3 linked regions of the Zea mays genome follow. The protein of the gene in region 2 binds, or shares a complex with, the protein of the main gene of each other region. Links are inferred from orthologs where the notes say so. Each region holds a gene or a part of one and is shown on either strand. Other genes may lie near its edges. The genes, in order: arginine/serine-rich splicing factor SCL28 transcript II, pre-mRNA-splicing factor prp45 and Serine/arginine-rich splicing factor SC35-like.

What was found.
Region 1: pre-mRNA-splicing factor prp45 (region 2) and arginine/serine-rich splicing factor SCL28 transcript II share a complex: the UniProt entries of both Arabidopsis thaliana proteins name them as parts of the spliceosome. The link is inferred for Zea mays from reciprocal best matches to the Arabidopsis thaliana genes SKIP and SCL28.
Region 3: pre-mRNA-splicing factor prp45 (region 2) and Serine/arginine-rich splicing factor SC35-like share a complex: the UniProt entries of both Arabidopsis thaliana proteins name them as parts of the spliceosome. The link is inferred for Zea mays from reciprocal best matches to the Arabidopsis thaliana genes SKIP and SC35.

What each region holds. Positions count from the first base shown.
Region 1 is NC_050096.1:63,177,126-63,183,417, reverse strand, and holds the start of arginine/serine-rich splicing factor SCL28 transcript II, read right to left. Parts: upstream 3,672-6,292; 5' UTR 3,587-3,671; coding exon 3,381-3,586; intron 2,343-3,380; coding exon 2,265-2,342; intron 1,139-2,264; coding exon 974-1,138; intron 857-973; coding exon 795-856; intron 717-794; coding exon 677-716; intron 420-676; exon of another isoform or gene 353-419; intron 1-352. Other genes in the region: uncharacterized protein LOC100280902, read left to right, coding at 3,874-5,514. UniProt on the Arabidopsis thaliana protein: Involved in intron recognition and spliceosome assembly. Probably active at the 5' splice sites.
Region 2 is NC_050099.1:184,590,964-184,597,194, reverse strand, and holds pre-mRNA-splicing factor prp45, read right to left. Parts: upstream 3,802-6,231; 5' UTR 3,677-3,801; coding exon 1,847-3,676; 3' UTR 1,504-1,846; downstream 1-1,503. UniProt on the Arabidopsis thaliana protein: Splicing factor involved in post-transcriptional regulation of circadian clock and flowering time genes. Associates with the pre-mRNA of PRR7, PRR9, ELF3 and GI, and is necessary for the regulation of their alternative splicing and mRNA maturation.
Region 3 is NC_050102.1:175,816,456-175,822,848, reverse strand, and holds the start of Serine/arginine-rich splicing factor SC35-like, read right to left. Parts: upstream 3,630-6,393; 5' UTR 3,569-3,629; coding exon 3,490-3,568; intron 3,391-3,489; coding exon 3,312-3,390; intron 3,143-3,311; coding exon 3,063-3,142; intron 2,964-3,062; coding exon 2,897-2,963; intron 1,589-2,896; coding exon 1,517-1,588; intron 1-1,516. UniProt on the Arabidopsis thaliana protein: Probably involved in intron recognition and spliceosome assembly, but not involved in alternative splicing regulation of the SCL33 intron.

The sequences.
Region 1 (6,292 bases), on a different chromosome or scaffold from region 2:
GGATGGATGGAGCATTATATATCTAGAAGGGCAGGCCAGGTGTGATGGTGAGAGTTGTCTCACTGACTCACTAAGCAGCCTCTCCTCATTTGCGGGGGAAGGCTTGCCTCGGTTTATCCATTCCCCAAACCCCACTCATGTGGGAGCCACCCACACTGGGTTTGCCCTTTTTCTTATGGTGTATTACCTTTAAATCATAAAAGGGGTATAATAAACAAGTAATAAATACATTGTGAATACATTAAATATCCACCCTTGCTTCTAGCATATATAATATTTTGAACATTGACGCAATCACAAGTATGCAACTCCAACTGCCGATTTTAATAAAAGCAACAAGTTCTAAAATTACCATCACTGTTCTTAAGGTGACGCCTAGGCGTCCAGGCGGTGGTCCAACGCCTTGTCTCGCCTTACCACTTTAAAAACCATGATTACCATGTTATGAAAATATTGTTCATGAAAAATTAAACAGTATACTTGGAACAATGCAACCACTTTGGCACATCCTTCTAATGGTTTGATCATGATAAAATTATATCCATATGAACTGGAAAGAAATGCAACTGCTCCTAAAAATTGAAAATAGCAGAGGCATTCAAAGAACATATAGGATTGAAGAACAACCAACAATTCAAGATACTAGTCTATTTGAAATAAAAAATTGAGTTCAAACCTGAAGTCACGCCTAACTGGAGAAGGCGGTGGTGAATAAGCTGCCAGAAAAGTGATAGCGTTTACTTACAAAACAAAAGAATGCAACATTTAATTTTTGTAAATCGCTTCACACTTACAGTGGGAACGAGACCTTGGAGATCTTGACAGTCTTGTGTATCTTTCATCCATGTACCTACCACTACATCAATGAAAGCACGGATTTATTTCTTTTCATTACTTCAAGTATAAGTTTACTACAGTGTTGCTAAGGACAACCTAGAGCACATGGCAAAGGATAAAGAAACAAATAATGAACCTAGTTCTTGTTCTCATGCGCATTTCTTGTGGCGTTTTTCGATTCTCCTCAGCATAAACTATTGAAATTTCTCGCCCACCAATGACTTGATGATGCATCTCACGCTTGGCAACTGCAGCATCCTCAGGGTAGCGGAATTTGACAAATCCAAAACCACGAAGTTCCCTGTAAAATTGACCAATTCAACCAAGGATTAAGAAGGGAAAAAATCATTGTAATTCAACAAATATACTCCATGTTCCAACAGCTGGCTGTTCATTCCAATCCAAATTTAATAAAGAACCGGTAAATACACTTAGAAACTATTTATCAAAAACAGGGAATAGATAAAACAAAAGTTTGCCCTCATATTAAACATGATTCTTTTTATTGCCAAAAGAACCATAATTTTTAATGAGATAATTCCAGGCCATTTGACATTTCTATCACATTATCACATATGTCCAAATGGATGAAACAAATATAATGTCTTGGAATGAACACCGGAATGACCACTCAAGCAACAGTGTATCGGTCTCCTTATTATTGGTGTGCAACTTAATTCATCTAAGCGCTTTTTCAGTGTTCAAAAAACTTTGTTTGCCAGCTATGCACATACTCCCTCCGGACATAAATAAGTGTCGTTTGGACAACAACATAATACCCAAAACACATTTCAATGCTTGTAAATTATACTAAGTATATTTTTATGTGACTACTTCAAGACAAATCTACCGATATCATTTTTTAATATTCAAACCCAAGAAATATAAAGCAATTCATAAAAAGTAACATCTAATCAAAGTTGAAATTGTTGACTTGCACATAATCCAAACACCACTTACTTAAGACTGTGTTCAGCGGTTCCCCCTAAATTTCTCCCCCTATATCCCACTCACGTGCCACGTCAGCGTTCTCTTTCCCCCTATATCTCCACCCTGTACAGCGGTTCCCCCTAAATCCTTCCCCTATACCCCACTATAATCATAAAATATCATTTTTCATACCTATTCACCATCTATTATCATTTTTTCCCAACTAAAAAACACTGCCGCACACGTAAACCGAGGGCAGGGGGCTCACTGCCGCACCCCCCACATCTGTTTGTTTCCTGTAGCCTCCACTTAAACTGTAGCGTGTAGAGGAGTTCAAAGGGGGCACCGTTGTAGGGATTTGAACCCCCTGGCCTAAACGGCTACAGGGGTAGGGGAGGTCGGCGGGAACCGTTGAAAGCAGTCTAAGGCAGGGTTGGCATGAGGTTGAACTGAAGTTTGACATAAGGCAAAAAAAAACTTTAGAAAGCAATTATTACCTCGTGTGGAAATTCCTTGGCAGGTAAACATCCTTGATAGGGCCGAATTGCTCAAATGTAGCTCGAATATCTTCTGGCCTGCAGACAACGAAAATCCAATAACAGAACAAAATCAGTTAACTACATTGTAAAGCCATCCGAGGGCACAAAAACAGACTGCATCACAATAATACATAACATAGGTATATCATAATGATTACTTTGCAGCAACTTACTATAACATTTTATTGGCAGTTGAAATAGACTGGAACTGTTTGCAAGGTTAAAAAGTCCATCAAACCGTAAGGGTCATACAGTGGCAATAAGATGCAGAAACATCCAAATTTTTATCTGACATGAGAGGATTGGATTATTTGATGTGAAAGAGCCAATGCTCCTTGAGTACAAATAACCATGACCACCAACTTCCTAAACAAACGAGTCATATATTTTCATAATGATCTAAAGTGATTGGCAAACTCTCATACCAAGACATTGAATAGAAACCCAGACCGACTCTAGGTTTGTCAAAGACTAGACAATGGCTTAAACATGATCGATCCACTCTATAAAGGATATATGACATTGATATACAAATCTGCTTTGAGAAGACTAAGGATGCACACCATCAACCCATTTAGTGAATGTCTTCAAAACCCAATGTGTTTGCCATGACAGATGAACTTATCTTTTTTCATAAGAAATTCTGATAAGCAGTTCCATCAGTTATTCATGCACACATCTTCCAGTAAACATCAATTGTTAAATATCCCGTTGCAGCACATTTTACAATCAAACATTTGTTAGCGTGCAAACCACCAAACAATTAATCACCATGTGAAAAATTAAAACACAGTTACGTGCAAATATCAAATGCTGAAAACAAGCTTCAATGTTTGCTTTTATTTTGTGCATAGCATTTAACAACCATCAAATAACACATTAGAGGCCGATCAGATGGGTAGAGGATTGAGCATACAATCGAATCGACAATATATAATTGCATGCAGCAGACAAAAAAAATCACAGAATTAACGGCTCTTGACATTGACCAAACCAGATGGCGCCACGCCCGTTATCCATAGGTCATACGAGACAGAACTGCAGCCACATGTATGGGGTACAGCGATAATTCACCTGGCTGTGAGGGAGATATTACGGATGAGGAGACCGGACTGCGCCAACGGCCGACCGTAACCACGTCGGTCCCCGCCTCCGCCGGCCCCGGCCCAGCGGTAGCGGTCGCGTGGATCGTCGTAGCGCTTGCGCCTAGGAGGGCTCCGGCTGTACCGCCTCCGTGGGCTGTAGCTTCGGCTCGGACTGCGGCTGCGATATCCTGTCATCGCTAGTCGCCGATGCTGTGTCGCGCCTGAGAGGGGCAAGCGGCCTTGCTAGGGTTTCTCCGAGGTTTGGTTCGCCGGTGTTCCGTGACGCTGTAGGCGTTGCTAGGGACTAGGGTTCCTCTTATCCTAACGAAAGATGGGAGCACCCGCTAAATTGAAAGCCCCATGGGCCTTTTTGCCGACGGCCCACGACCAAACTTTGCGCGCACCGCAGACTTCAGACCGCCTCCAACAGTCTACCCCGCCTCTTGCGTCAGCTCTGCCGCCGCCGCCCGGCCGGCACCGCCATGCCCCCGCCTCGACTCCGTTTCGCCAGGCACTTATGCTCCGCCACGGCATCCGATCCCGCCGGCGCTCCGACTTCGTCCACGATCTCAAACGCTGCTGCCCTCGCCGCGGCCGCCGCCCTCCGCACGCCGCGGCTCGAGCCCCGCCTCCTCTCCTTGGTCCCCCGCGCCGTCCTCCTCCATCCAGACTTTGCTCGCCTCACGCTCTCCTGCCTTCTTCCGGCCGTGGCTCCATCGCTCCGCTTCCTACGCGCTCTGTCTCCACACCTCCCCGGCCCCGCCCCTGACACCGCCCCGGTGAACGTCTCCCCTCCGCTGCCCGGGGTCGACAAGTTCCTCCTCCGCCTCCCACCGCACCTCGCCGCAGACGTCGCCGAGCTCCTCAGCTCTTACCTCCGCATCCACCTTTCCCTCCGTGCCTTCAATGTCGCGTCCTGTTCCGCACTCCGCGCGGCCCGCCCAGACCTCGTCTTCCGCTTCTTCTCCGCCTTCTCTTCCTCGCCAGAATTCCCCGGCAATGCCACTACCGTCGGCTGCCTCGCCCGGGCCTACGCCGCCGAGGGCCGCCCCCTCGACGGCCTCGGCCTCCTCCGCGACGCCGCGCGCCGTGGGTCCCCTCCGCCCGCCGACGCAGTTGCTGACCTCATCGGCGCCTTCGCAGCCGAGGGCAACTTCGGCAAGGTCTCCGACACGCTGCACCTCATGATTGCCACCGGGTGCACCCCGGACAAGGTGATCTACCAGCGGGTCATACACGGGCTCTTCAGGCGGAGGATGGGTGGAGAGGCCCTGCGTGTGTTCAGAGAGATCAAGCAGCGTGGCTATGACATTGACGGAGTTACATATACCACGGTGATCCATGGGTTATGCGAAATGCGGCTGATTGGAGTTGCACAGCAGATGTGGGATGAGATGGTGGGCAGGGGCATCGCCCCCAATGAGTATGCCTACTGCTCCCTTGTCACTTACTATTGCAGAGTTGGTGATCTCGACAAGGCCCGCAAGGTATATGATGAAATGCTTGAGAAGGGGTTCAAGCAGACTACTGTTAGCTGTAACATTCTCATCAAAGGATTCTGTGTTCATGGGAGGGTGTACGACGCACTTGAGGTGTTCGAGGAAATGTCCATCAAGGGAATCAAGCATGATGTGATCACGTACGACACATTGATCAATGGCCTATTCAAAGCTGGGAAGTTGGACTTGGCGATGCGGATGTACGAGTGGTTGCTATCATCTGGTTTGGAGCCAACATCGTCAACCTTCGGTCGTCTTATATGTGCCATGTGTGAGAACGGACAGGTGCATGCTGCAGTAGACCTGATCAAGTCGATGCGGACCAAGGGCTTGGAGCCACCGGTGTGGACAAACGATCACATCATCAGTGGCTTTTGTAAGATCAATCTGTCTGATGAGGGCATGGCATGGTTGGCAGGTATGTTGAAGGACAACATAAGACCCCAAAGACAGACATTTGATTACTTGGTGGAGTCGTTGAGCACCTCTGGGCGATTGGACGATGTGTTGCTGGTCCTGAATATAATGTTCAAGGTTGGATTTGAAATAGGCACATTTGCTTGCACCGTACTTGCCGAGAAGCCGTGCACAAGCAATGTATCTTTACTCCCACCAACTGGATAATATTTTGGTCAGCAACCAGTAGCAATCAATTGCCTTGCGAATGATGTTATGTTTCCTTGGCTCCCCCAAGACATGCGTTCATCAAGGCATTTTTTTTGTGGGTGCTGTCTTCAAGTGCTGAAATGCCTTCCAGCAGAAGATTTTGGAGATGAGACAATTTTAATGTTATTGCTGGCTTGTAATCGGCTCTTACTCTAGCATTTTTTGCAGTTGTGGTGGAGCTTATCAAAGTGCTGTGGCTCCTATAGGTCAGTGTAGATTTTTTTTTTGGTGAAGAGTCAAAATAGTTGTCAGCTTGTACCATTCAGTTCGAGAATAATGTCCAAGGCTCTTTGAGTAATGCTTTGAGAGACATTTCATACTGCCAGTACTCATGGGATGGAAAACTTGCCTCACCGGTTTCTGGCGGTTTTCGGCTTCCAATACCTCTCCCGGAGGTAATTTGAGCAATCCCGGAGGTAATTTGAGCTTCCAAACTAGTCCTAATAATATCACAGCCTTGCTGCTCAACGCATTTTTGTCGTTCATATTTTTACCATTAAAGACTAGTTTGACAACCACATTTTTTACAAGGGATTTCTATTCTTTTTCTCAAGGAAAATTAATTCATTTTCTTTGAGAAAATGAGAATCTCTTAGAAAAATGAAGTTGTCAAACTAGCCCTAACTGTTATATATCTCACGTCAGAATCTGTTCCACTCGGATGCCCAACCGAGTGGTTCATAGCTTATACATTGTTCATTATCATAGCACACAAAACACCAGACATCACATTGTT
Region 2 (6,231 bases):
TTTGACTTGTTTGGGATTTAAACCCACCCAATCCCACTCCATTCACATAGATTGAGAGTTAACCAAACAAATAAATATAGACGTGCAGAATATCGTTTTGCAATGCAAACTGCTACATGTGAAATGGTTTTATCAAACGGTTTACCAAAACTGTTTTAACTCCACGAAGTTATTCATGACGTTGAAGAAGAAAACACAAAGTTGGAGAAAGAAAAAACGGCTTCGCTAGTAAAGTGAAAGTGTGCCAAACGAAATCTGACTCATCATCTCACACAGAAATAGAATATGATGATGCTAGAAATAATAGCTTATCACAGCTTCATCACACACCCGTCGGTCCTGTGAGCCAAACGAAACCTAAATCATGATCTCACATAGGAAAAGAATATGCCGAAGCCTAAATCATGATCTCACATAGGAATAGAATATCGTGAAGCTGAAAACAATAGCTTTTTCACAGCTTCAAAACACACTCATCGGTCCTGTAAGATTCTGTAAGAACAAATGTACATACAAAGCTGTCTTGCAAATGATTCACCAAAACAGCTTTTAACTTCACTGAGAAAGTTGCTCGTAAAACTAAAAAACTGAGCTGTATGCCTGTTTTGCAAACGGTTCGCTAATCAACTTTAACTTCACTGATAAAGTTGCTTGTAAAACTGAAAAAAAAGGCAACGTGTTGAACCAAACGGTGTCTTAATGTTCATAAGGTGGAGCCTCTGAGCCAATTGTTAGTACCGCATTATTATCATAGGTGTGTCCGTGTGTGGGGGAAAGAAAACATGTGTGCATACTGCTTCAGTAAATTTGGAACTGTCATCAAATCTCTGATTGCAAGCGTGCACAGAAACATATATACTCTACTACAAGATAGCAGTAAGCAAAGTACGTTTTGCCCCAGTTTCAATCATCTGTTGCTCATGCAAACAGCAAAGCAATGTCCACGGTAGTTATAGCAATCGGCCATGCATTCATTGCATATATGTGCTCAATTATCAGGAAATTTTAAATCTCTTTTAAAGAAACTCATGAAACTTTAACAATAAATATAGATCGACCAACTTGATACAGCTCTGCATCAAAAACAAAAAACAAAAATTGCCCTATAAAGGTTTGCTTCTTTGTAAAATGAACAAATGTTTACATGAGAATTAGAACAAACCAGGATCCCAATATTTATAAGGGCAGAAAATAACTAAAATTCAATAAAAGCTACCTTGAAGTATCACAAGTTCACAGGGTAAAAACTGGATATAGGTAAGTTAAGGACACTGCAGAAAAACTGAAAACTAATGTCAACCAAAAACTAGAGCATGACTGAGACTCCACTCAAACCAAGCACACTGAACTAGGAAATGGAGTCACAGATAACCACAGTTCGCATGACACAGCAAAATCTTATTGAGTACAACAGTAAACCATGAATACATCCCCGCAATAAAAAGCAGAAAGAAATAATCTAATAGGCACCACCAAGAAATTCATAAACAGAATGAGCACATGTGCAGCAACCATGGCAACAAATAGCCACGTTGAGTCCATCCATATCCCAAAATGATAACTGATGAAATAATAGAGCCCAATAACATGTATCGTAAGTTCGTAACAATTGATGGAACATGGATAAACGAAGCTCATAGCTCCTATAATGAACAGATACACGCATAGTACATAGACATCATAGGATCCATATAGTACACTCTTAAGCACAACCACTGAAAGTAGGCACATGAGCTATAACAGCACAGGAGCCATGCTCTTTCTTATCAGAGTTCAGCTTCTTATGACATTCTGCTAGAAGATATTTGAGAAAGCATTCCAAACCTGCAGAAGCAGAGCAAATACCTCAGCGCCCCCTTTCAAAGTTGATGCGGGACCTCCCAGATCCACCATCATAATCATCCCTCATTGAGGACCCACCACTCGCCTTCATGGTTCCTCCACCTCCAATCTTCTCCACAGCTTTCTTACCCTTCTTCACCTCAGTCAAGAACTGATCCAGACCAAATGGATCATTTTCTTCCTGCTTATCGAACTCCACAGGCCTGTCTCGCTTGCCAGTCCTCTCTGAAGCACCAGTAAATCCCTTGTCAGGCTTGAACCTCTCAGTCTTCATAACCTTCTCCAACTGTTCATCTGCATCACCATATACATCAGAATCCCCATCCTTCTTAGGCCTGTATAGCGTGGACATCGTGGACTGCGCTGTGAAGAGACCCTTAGAGTAGATATTGTACTGATCATCTGTGGCAAAACCAGAGTCCATTCCCTTGTCCTGGTTGAACAGACGCTGGTCATACATAACCTCACCACCTTTTGCACCACCAGTGCTTGCCATACCAAGAGCAATCTTCTCACTGATATCACGATCCCTGTCCCTTGTGATCTTACTCTTCTTGCCCATTGCAGCATCCTTGGCTTCAAGCCTCCTCTCCCTCTCCCTCTCGCGTCTGCGCTCCTCACGGATTCTATCACGCTCAATCCTTCCTTCCCTCTCTTCTCTAGACTCCCTGCGCTGCTCACGTGATTCCCGTGGTTCACGCGGTTGCTCCATATCCATAACTTCATCAACATCCTGAATTGCTCCCCTGCCACCACCAGCAGGCACACCTGATGGTGCAGGTGGGGCACCAGTCCTCTCCATACGTGCCCTCTGTGCAAGTGCCCTTAGCTCTTGCTCCTTTCTCTCCTTCTCCTTCAGCATAAGTTCCCTCTGAACCTTGGAGCGCATCTGCACTGCCTCCCTCGCCTTCTGCTCTGCCACGTACAATGCTTCAGAAAGCTTTGCAAAGTTATCATTGATCTGCACCTCCTGCAGACCCCTCCCATCAGCCGCCAACCTCTTATCAAGCGGAATCGTGTAACCCTTTGGATTTTTCCAATTTGAAATACAAGGTGGGATCTTCCAATCCTGCTGGTCCTTCACTGTAACTGGCCGTGGCGGCGAGTGCATCACTGGTACAGGTGGTGACCCAGACGCCCGGGGCACACGCTTGTGCTTGAACTTTGGTGGCTCAAGAGGATCCACCGCCATCTCTGACATCCTAATGATCCTCTCCTTTGCACCTGAATTGAAGGCCGCGGATTGCTGTGACGGCTTATACTTGATGAACTTGGACTCAGAATCATGAGTCGGCACATTCTTGGGCTGAGCTGCAGAGAGGCGGACGTTGACAACCTTCTCCAAGGCGGCCTTGGTCCGTTCAGTTGTCTCCTCGATCTGCTTCTGCTCCTCGTCGTCGTCCGACGTCGCCTGGGAATCGGCAGTGGCTATCTTCGGCACGAGGTCGCTATGCTTAGAGTAGACGATCTTGCCTGCGTTCTCCCCCTGCTTGACGACGGCGTCGAAGGCGACGCTGCCGTGTGCGTCGACGGTGAGCGCAAGGATCTTGGATCCGCCCTTATCATCACGGCGTCCCATGCCGAGCGGATACTGCGCGACGTGGATCTCCGGAAAGGCGCCGCCATCCCCGAAGTCCTCCGGCCGTCGCGGCACGAACCCCGTCCGCTTTCCGTAAGGTGGCACGGGCCGGGCGGCGGCCGCGGGCCTCGTCGCCGCGGCCGCCTGCGCCGACTCCCCACCGTACCGCTCCTTGAACCAGGGGTCGCTGCTGTGGTCGTAGAAGGTGGACGCTGACGTCTTGGGCGCCGGTAGGAGATCCTTGAGCGTCGCCATGGAGGCGGCCGCGTGCACGGCGCGTAGGATCTGCGGCTACCTAGGGTTCCGGCGAGTCGCCTGGTGCCCTGGTGGGGGGTCAGGGGAAATCGACGAGGAGGACAAGCTAGGGTTTGATTCTAATTTGGGGAAAGTGATAAAGGGTGTGACTGAGAAGGCGGCTACTGGCTGGGCTGGGCTGGAGTGGGCTTTTTGCAATTTGTAAAGGCCCGTTTCAGAAGCGAAACCAGTAAACTCTAAATGGGTCGATGCAAGAAATGGCTTCTATTGGCCTGCGCGCTCGGTGGTTTGGTAGCTCATTTTTACATTTTAAAATATTCAAAATTTTAATACTATACTCTAGAACTTAAAAAATGAAGAAATGAGTATCTGCTGTCCGCCAATGGATTGTAGGCAAGGTCGGAGCTGAGATTTGGGGGCCTAGGGCGAACATAAAAATCGAGCCTCTTCTAATATTTCTTGAGATAAAATCATCAATGGTTGTGTTGATCTAATATAATATTTTTCTCAACGTATAGGTGGCAAAACCACTCAATCGTTCTCAAAAAATTGTAGATCTGAAATAGTTATTCAATTATTTCAATATCGAAAAACTCATTTCAGTTGATGCCACCATGACAGGTATAATAAATAAGACTTGATAATTTATATAAGCAATAGAATAGAAATCTATCTTATTGACATACTAAAAACTCTTAACTCGGAAATTAGATTATTTAATTCAGCATTAGCTCTCATATTAGCTATATAATTAACTATATGATGTGGAGCACCTATGATTTGGGGGCCTAGGGCGGCTACCCGTCCGGGTTGGCCCTATGCCAAGAGCTGGCCCTAATTGCGGGGACTTAATTATAAAAATATTTGAATGTTCCTATGAATTAAATATTTATTTGGATTATTAAATAATCTATACGCAATAATCCACCATCTAGACAATTATATAAATAGAAATCTATTAATTACTAACTATAAGATTAAATAACTTATACAATATTTTTAAGCTAAACATTACATCATGGCAATGCACAACAAAACATGTGCATCAGATAAGGTGCACCAAATAGGACACCAATAGAGCTTAAAGAAGAGATCGCATACACTTTATAACCATCGGACTTGTTTAATGCACCACCAGACATATTATTGAACAGGATACTCAGAGAGCATGTAAATTATGTCTAAAAGGTCGAGTACTCAACGTATTTGTCCACCATGCTACTAGTTATGGCATCAAGCAGGATAATCAGAGAGGTTTGCTACTATATGTAACTAGAGATGATAGTGGAGTACGCGTGTGGATAAATAACCACGGATAATTATTCATTAGAATGGATATGGTGGGATTTGTTATCAATGGGTATTGATATTTATGCAATTTAGCATTTTTTGTAAAAAACATATTTGGATTCTTAACGGTTTAATATCGTTTTTGGGCCCTTTGTTCGGTGTCATAGACCATGCCACCAAGATAACACGGCTCAGCGTCGTGACCTATGGCGCCGAGATCATAACTACGCTGGCATTTAGGTACACTACTGGCAGCTGACATGCCGCCGAGGTCCTAACTACGCTGGGAAAATCGAGTTGTAGCGTTGATTTTACAGGACTATTCTTTTCGATGCATGTTTTCACTACAAGAAACAAGGCAGAGAGTGTCGGTCAAAAACTCACACTCTTACTGAAATAAGCCAACACTCTTAGTATAAGAGTGTCGGCCAACTGACACTCTTAGGTGACCTGAAATGGATGCTCTTATTCGTATAAATGTGTGGGACTGACACTCTTACGTTAAGAGTGTCGGTTCAGCACGCAACCGGCACTCTTATGCTAAGAGTGTCGGCCAGTGACATGGCAAACATTCTTATTGTGCGCACGGTCCCTAGCCTAGCTGTGTCATATAAGAATGTGTGGGCCGACATTCTTACTGAATAATTTTTTTTAATATCCAGTTTTATTTTTCTCCCTCTCTGGATGGGAAGCCTCCATAACAGTTCAGTAACAGCACAATACAAGCACAATATTCAATATATCACAACACAAGTACCATATTCAATATATCATAACAAAAGCATCATATTCGATATTTATACAAGTTCAAGTCCATAAGAAAGAAGTTCAAATCCATTTGAAACAAGTTCAAGTCCATACAAAACACAATGCTAGTAAGTTTCACATAAGCCTCCATATTAATTCATTCCGTCCGTGGGTCATTGAAGCCGCCGCCACTTGTATTCATTAATACAAGTTTCTCTTCGTACTGTTTTTCTTCGAACTCCTGTGAGCTCCTCAGCTCCACCGCATCCTCCATTTTTTTGCTTCCCAAAAGAGCTTCCCGCTTGCTCGGAGGACGCTCATCTGTTGAATCGGATTTCCGATCCGGAGTGTTGCTCTCTACAGAAGGCAGACCCACCAACTTGAAACCTTGAAACCTTTTCCTTATCCGTGTCACTCGACTCTAGCCCCTGCCCCTCTGCTTGCTGCCCATCCATTACAACCGTAGCCTTCAGGGACAGCAGCGCTCTCCAATGCACCAGCATCAGCAGGCGGCACTT
Region 3 (6,393 bases), on a different chromosome or scaffold from region 2:
ATGACACCGTTGACTTTTTCAAAAACTTTGACAAATCGTCTTATTCAAAATATTTATTCAAAATGTAAAATTTTACGTTAAGCACAAACTACCTTAAATGATAAAACAAATCATAAAAAATAAATGATAACTCATTATTTTTTTGAATAAGACGAGTGGTCAAAGTTTTAAAAAAAGTCAATGGTGTCATAAATCTATGAACAGAGGGAGTATGACTTTTGCGCACAGGTGCTGCACGTGACAAGTGCATTCACAGTTGACACTTACCAATCAATGGTACACGCCACCAACACACAAACTACCCAATTTTACAATTTTGGCTATCTCCAATAGATCCCCTATCTCATCCCATATCTTATCCCTTATTTTTTTTTCTCGAAAGCGCAAGAGAGCTGCGCGAAAATATATTAAGAAGGAGATAAAGGTCCAAAAGGACCCCAAGATACATGGTACAAAAAAGGCTGCCCTACGGCGGCCAATAACAAGCATAAATGAAACCATCCATGACAAAAACATGGCTACCAAAACAGCACTACAACTATCTAGCTAACAGGGAGACCTGGGATGGGGGCAGTAAGCAAAGACAGCTTCTTTGCACCAGCCATAACCCAAAGATCAATCTCCAAACCAACACTTTTAATAGCAACAGCAACACTAGGACTCTTATTGTCAAAAACGCAGCCATTGCGATGCTTCCAAAGGGTCCAAACACCAAGAATGACAAGAGAATTAAGACCATTTCTTGCAATCCCAGGAATCTTGGTGCTCAAATCTTGCCATCAATCCATAAAAACCCCTTCACAGGACTGATGGGCCAAGTGTTGTAGATTAACAAGAAGAACCAGCTTGAACCAAAATTCTCTAGCAAAAACGCAGCCCAGCAACATATGATTTAAGGTTTCCTGATCCTGATCACATAATGGACATCTCTCCGGATGATCCATACCTCTTCTTTGCAACCTATCAGCTGTCCACACCCTCTTGTGAGCGACCAGCCACATGAAAAACTTAGATTTCGGAGGAGCCCAAGTCTTCCATATTATATGAAAAGGCTCAAACTCAATTGACCCAATAAAGAAACCCCTATAAGCTTCCTTGGAAGAATATTTTCCATTGGCAGCAAGGCGAAAGAAATGCTTGTCATCCACATGAGGTCTTAGCTGAACCAAATCTAATAAATCCCATAGGAGGAGGTACTCGTTGATAACACCCACTGAAAGACCCCCCTGAATATCCGAAATCCAGCTGTGATTGGAAAGAGCGTCCAATACTGTTCTCCGATTAGCCCTTTGCTTAGAAATAGTTCTAAATAACCGTGGACCCATCTTATCCCTTATTTCAAACTCCACTTTGCAAACAGTGTCATCTACAGTTCTGCGTTCTCTATTTTACCCTATCTACTGGAGACAGTCTTAGTGAAGTTAAAATACAGTGGTGGGTATCACTTTTCTATAAATTTTGAAGAACAGAAAAAACATGTCCATATAACATTCAGAAAATGATGGCGCTGCTATACCTCCGTCTTGGACTGTGACTCCTGGAACGCCCCCCTGGTCTTGGAACTGGCTCCACTATTCTCCCTTTATTACTGTGAAAGATGCAAGGATTCAGTATGGACGATAAAAGCAGAGAAATTAACGCTACAACAGTAGATATTTGAGAAACTCACACTAGGATGCTTTCCTGTGAAAGCAATTAAAGGAAAAGTTGTGGATGCTCGGTGTGTTCCTAAGAGACATCACATATGATGATTTAACTAATTTATTCTGCTCATCATGTGGCCCTAAAAACTTTTTTACATGAAAAAATAGGACATGTCATATTTATCATAGTTATTAAGGCAATAAGGCGAGTTAAGGCAAGCAATCCCCTTTTCACCTTTTAAGCGGAAAGACGTAAGGCGAGGCGAGGTGACGCCTTACTCATATATAAATATAGGAAAATATAGAGTTAAGATGAGGTGTTTGCACTCAAAATTAGGTCCTAAAACACTTTAATGGGTCCCTAACATACAGAACTCAAAGAATCCAGTAATTTTTTTTGAATTATAAACTGTCAAAGGATGTTAGAAAGAAAAAAAAGAAGTGGAAAAGAAAAAGGAAAAAAAGAATGGTATGGACTTTTATTTGGTGACCCATCTAGAAGCCCATTAACTCAGCACAAACCGAGGTTCCACCACAGCCACACAGCAGCCGCCGCCGATGCAGTGCTCTGTGTGTTCTCCATCTTCTGCCCCCTCCCCCACTCACGCTCGGCTGCGGCGCCAGCGGCTCCCCATCCCGCCGCATGCCTGCAACCTCCACCGCCGCACCGCGTCTTACGTCCGCGGGCAAGGCGAGCAGGACGCCTTGCCATCTACGCGCACCTTAACGCTTAAGCGACACTTTAGCGACGCCTTAATAAGTATGATATACTAAAATGAAACCGCAGTTTACTGTGTTCTTGTTAGTGAATTACCAACATAGAAGACAAAATGAAAGAAAAATAAATAAATAAAGATAAACCAAGAAATGCTGTGGCAGCATAAGTGGCTGTAATATTGCACAAGGAACCAACATGACTAAATAAATTGTACGTTATACCTGATTATTAAAATCCAAAACAAGTAAACCCATACAGAGGTTCAAACTAAAACAGCATTTATATATATAGCATTATGAGTGTTATACAAACTAGTGTTGTCTCTTTGCTCTAACACAGTATTGTACTGAGGTACATGGCAAAAGGTCTCACTACTGCCTAACGTACCTATCCAACAAATATACGATAAGAACTGCATTTAGGATTTAAAATGGCAAGTAAGAACTAGAATAGTCATTGAAGATCTCATGAACTAGGTTAATCATTGAAGATCTCAAGAACAAACACAGCACAGAGAACAAAACTGATGTCTTACATCCGTTCAGCATTTGGGCCGTACTTGGCAAACTGCACCATGATCTCCCTCCCGTCTACCAATCTCCCTGCAAATAAAACGCAGCACAGTTGAACAACATACAATCTAAAACCACACATGGAGCACACTGATTTCTACAGAGGCGAGAACCTCAAACTAAACTCACCATCGAGCCTTTCAACTGCCTTCTGTGCCTCGTCCTCGTACTTGTACCTCACGAACGCGAATCCGCGCGAGTCACCAGTCCTACAACCATAACCCTAGATGAGCACTCGCAAATCGGTGTTATCGCACACACGCACACGAGCGTCGATCCCTAATTCCATATTCTACACCAGGTACTCAGCCATCGCACGCAAGCAAAACTCTCGAATCGTAGATAGAAACATCCTTAGCCTGTTCGACTCGCGCTCACCGGCGGTCCCTTGGGATGTAGATGTCGACAATCTCGCCGTACTTGTCGAAGAGAGGGAAGAGGTCATCAGCAGTTGTGCCTGCGAGGCACCCAAACACAGATGAGGCGCCAATTCAAAGCCCGTAGGGTAGCTGGAATCTGGAGAACGGAAACAGAAGCGGGGAAGAGGGGAACTCACGGAAGGTGATGTTGAGGACGAGGAGTGAGTACGTGTCGCGGATCGGCGGCGGCGGGCCGGATCGACCGAAGCGTGACATCTCGCCGGAGCCGGAGGCGGCGCGGGACGGGGGTGCTCGAGGAGCGGCTGGTGGATGAAGGGTGGAAGGCTAGAGAGGGAAGAGGGGATGGGGAAGAGAACGGGGCCGCAAAAGCTGCCGAGTCTTCTAGGCTTGCACGCACGCGGCACGGTGCGACAAGTGGGCCCCTTGCATACGAACTTTTAGCCAGTGGTCAGGCACTCCTGCTTTTTTGTTTGGTTTGGAGCCGAAATTGCCTGGCCGAGGCATAGATTATAGGTCTGTTTGGTTTGATGCCTAAGTTGTCACACTTTGCCTAACTTTTGTGTCTAAGGTTAGTTCTTCAATTCGAACGACTAACCTTAGACAAAGTGTGGCACATTTAGGCACGAACCAAACAGCCCCATGCATTAATACATTATGCATTGGATATTTGGATTTTGAGTAGAGCTATGATTCCTTGTATGGTAGTCAAGTGTCTGGGAGGTCCTAACCAAACAGGCTCATTTGTTTCACATCAAATTGGCCTGACTCTGACTCTCTTTGGAGAGTGAAGTATTTTGTTGTTTCTTGTTTTTCCGTATAATTATACTTTGCAATGATAATATTATAATTTTGGTCAGCTTTTCAAATACCATGGTTTCAAAAATATAGTTTTCATAAATGTAACCAAACACCTTATAACATAAAAAACCATAATATTCACTAAAAAGTAAAAAAAATACTTCACTTCCAAATAGGCCCTTGTACTCAAACATCTACTATACAATTCAGGGTGTATTGGTAGCAAAGTTTTTAGATACTACAATTTTGAAATACTATGGTTTACATTTGTTCATGACAAAAGTACTGCGGTTTTCAAAACCACACTAAAATCACGGTTTTCAAAAATTTTGAGGATTGTTTAGTATTTGCTCCCTAGCACGTGCTGATATAACAGTGCGGTATGGGGTGGACACGAGACATGTGTGGAGTTTCCAAAACTATAAAATACTATAGTTTTAGGTAGATCATGGTAATTGAAATTATGTTTTACTAGTAAAATCAAACATATTTTAGCTTCCAATACCATAGTATCATTCAATATCATATTATTGCCTTAAAAATGTAAAGATACTAAGCTTTCAAACATGGCCTCACTAATTTTTGGTATTGGCCAATGAAGAAAGCTTTCAAAAAGGAATAAAATGGAGAGTACGATTGCTAAGGACGTAGACGTAGGGGCGATGGTGGAGGAAGGACCAAGATAAAGACCATAAGGTTGTCAGGCAAGGTTAGCAATTTTGGCTGAAATTTAGCAGATTTTGTAGTTTTTTCGTTTTTAGTGCTATACAAAATTGAAATTTCGGTTCGAAAAATTATATATTTCAGTTCCAAATTCAAAAAATATATAAAAGTCAAATTTTGGTCAAAATAGAAATTTTGAACAGTAAAAATGAAATTGTAAACCATATCGTCAGGGCATCGGGCGAGGTGGATGTGGCCAAGGGAGGCGGGATGTTGAGCACAAATGCAGCCATGCGGAGAAACAAAGAAGATAGTCACATAGGAGGACCTACAGATCCTACTTGACAGTTTCCTGACGGATCTCCGCACTTTCCATCCCTCGCGCCAAACATAAATTAAGAACATCTCTATCCCCTCAACTAAAAATTGACATGGAAGGGTCTCCTCCTAGAAAATTGGAATAGGTCTACCGCGTCCCTCCTTGTTTCCAAATCAAAAAGCCTAAAAGGGAAATGTGTCCTTAGACAATTTTTAGTTGCTTTGGTGATTAAATGTCTAACACACCACTTTAAACTAATTCTCTTTATATAAGCATGAGCACAGGAGTAGCAAAAGCAAATTGAAGACAAGACCGACTCGCACCGTACCCGCGTCAACAAACGTTAGTCGGCTCGCGGCTGTGAATGTGGGCAGGGGCAGCAGGTTGGGGAGGAAGAACAGGGCGAAGACCGGGAAGACGAACAGGACGTCCGACGACAGCGAAAACGATGGTGTGGGCGTGTTGTGAAACGTCCTCATGGACGTGCAATAGCCACTGCGCGGGTCGGTGTCAAGGCTGGTGTCAGATGAATATGGGGAGGAGGCACCTGCTCTCACGCCCTGTGTCGAGAATGGGGTGGCGCGGAGGCGGAGGCGGAGGCATGAGGGGAGAGGGAAAAGAAATAGGACGACGAACAAGGTGGCGGCAACTGAGGCGGGGACCATCATTATCGTGCGGAGGTATAGATGGCTAAATGGGCCATGTCTAGTGGGTCGGCCCGAGGCACGACCCATTTAATAGTGTCTGGGCCAGCCCGACACGAGCGTCGTGTCGTGCTTGGGTCGTAGCCTCGGCCCGTAGTGCTGGCTCGGCCCGCACGATTATATTTTTATTTTACAAAAAAATCATATATACATATGTATAATTTATATTCAATATTAACCACACATAAGCATGTTGTTATATTTGTTAGACGACTTCACCCAGTGTCTTCTGCCCTTCTTCTATCAGGATGTAGGTTCGAACCCTACCTCCTGCACCGTATTTTAACATTTTACGCTAATTTAACCAAATGGTCCGACGGGCTAACGGGTCAGCCCGACATGGTCAGCAGGCTGGCGTGCCATGCCTGGGCCAGAGCTGTAGCCCGCAGGCGTCGAGACCGTGCAGGGTTGCACGGAGGGGACGAACGTGTAGCGGGTTAATTTGAAATAGATGTCAGGGGTTAATTGTAAAAATATGACGCGGACCGACCGTTGAAACTGGTGCCTTAATATAGCAGAGATAGAGATAGAGAAGATATCTTAAAGACAACAATCAAGTGAAGAGTCTAATTTTTGGCTTCGTCTCATTCGAAGTT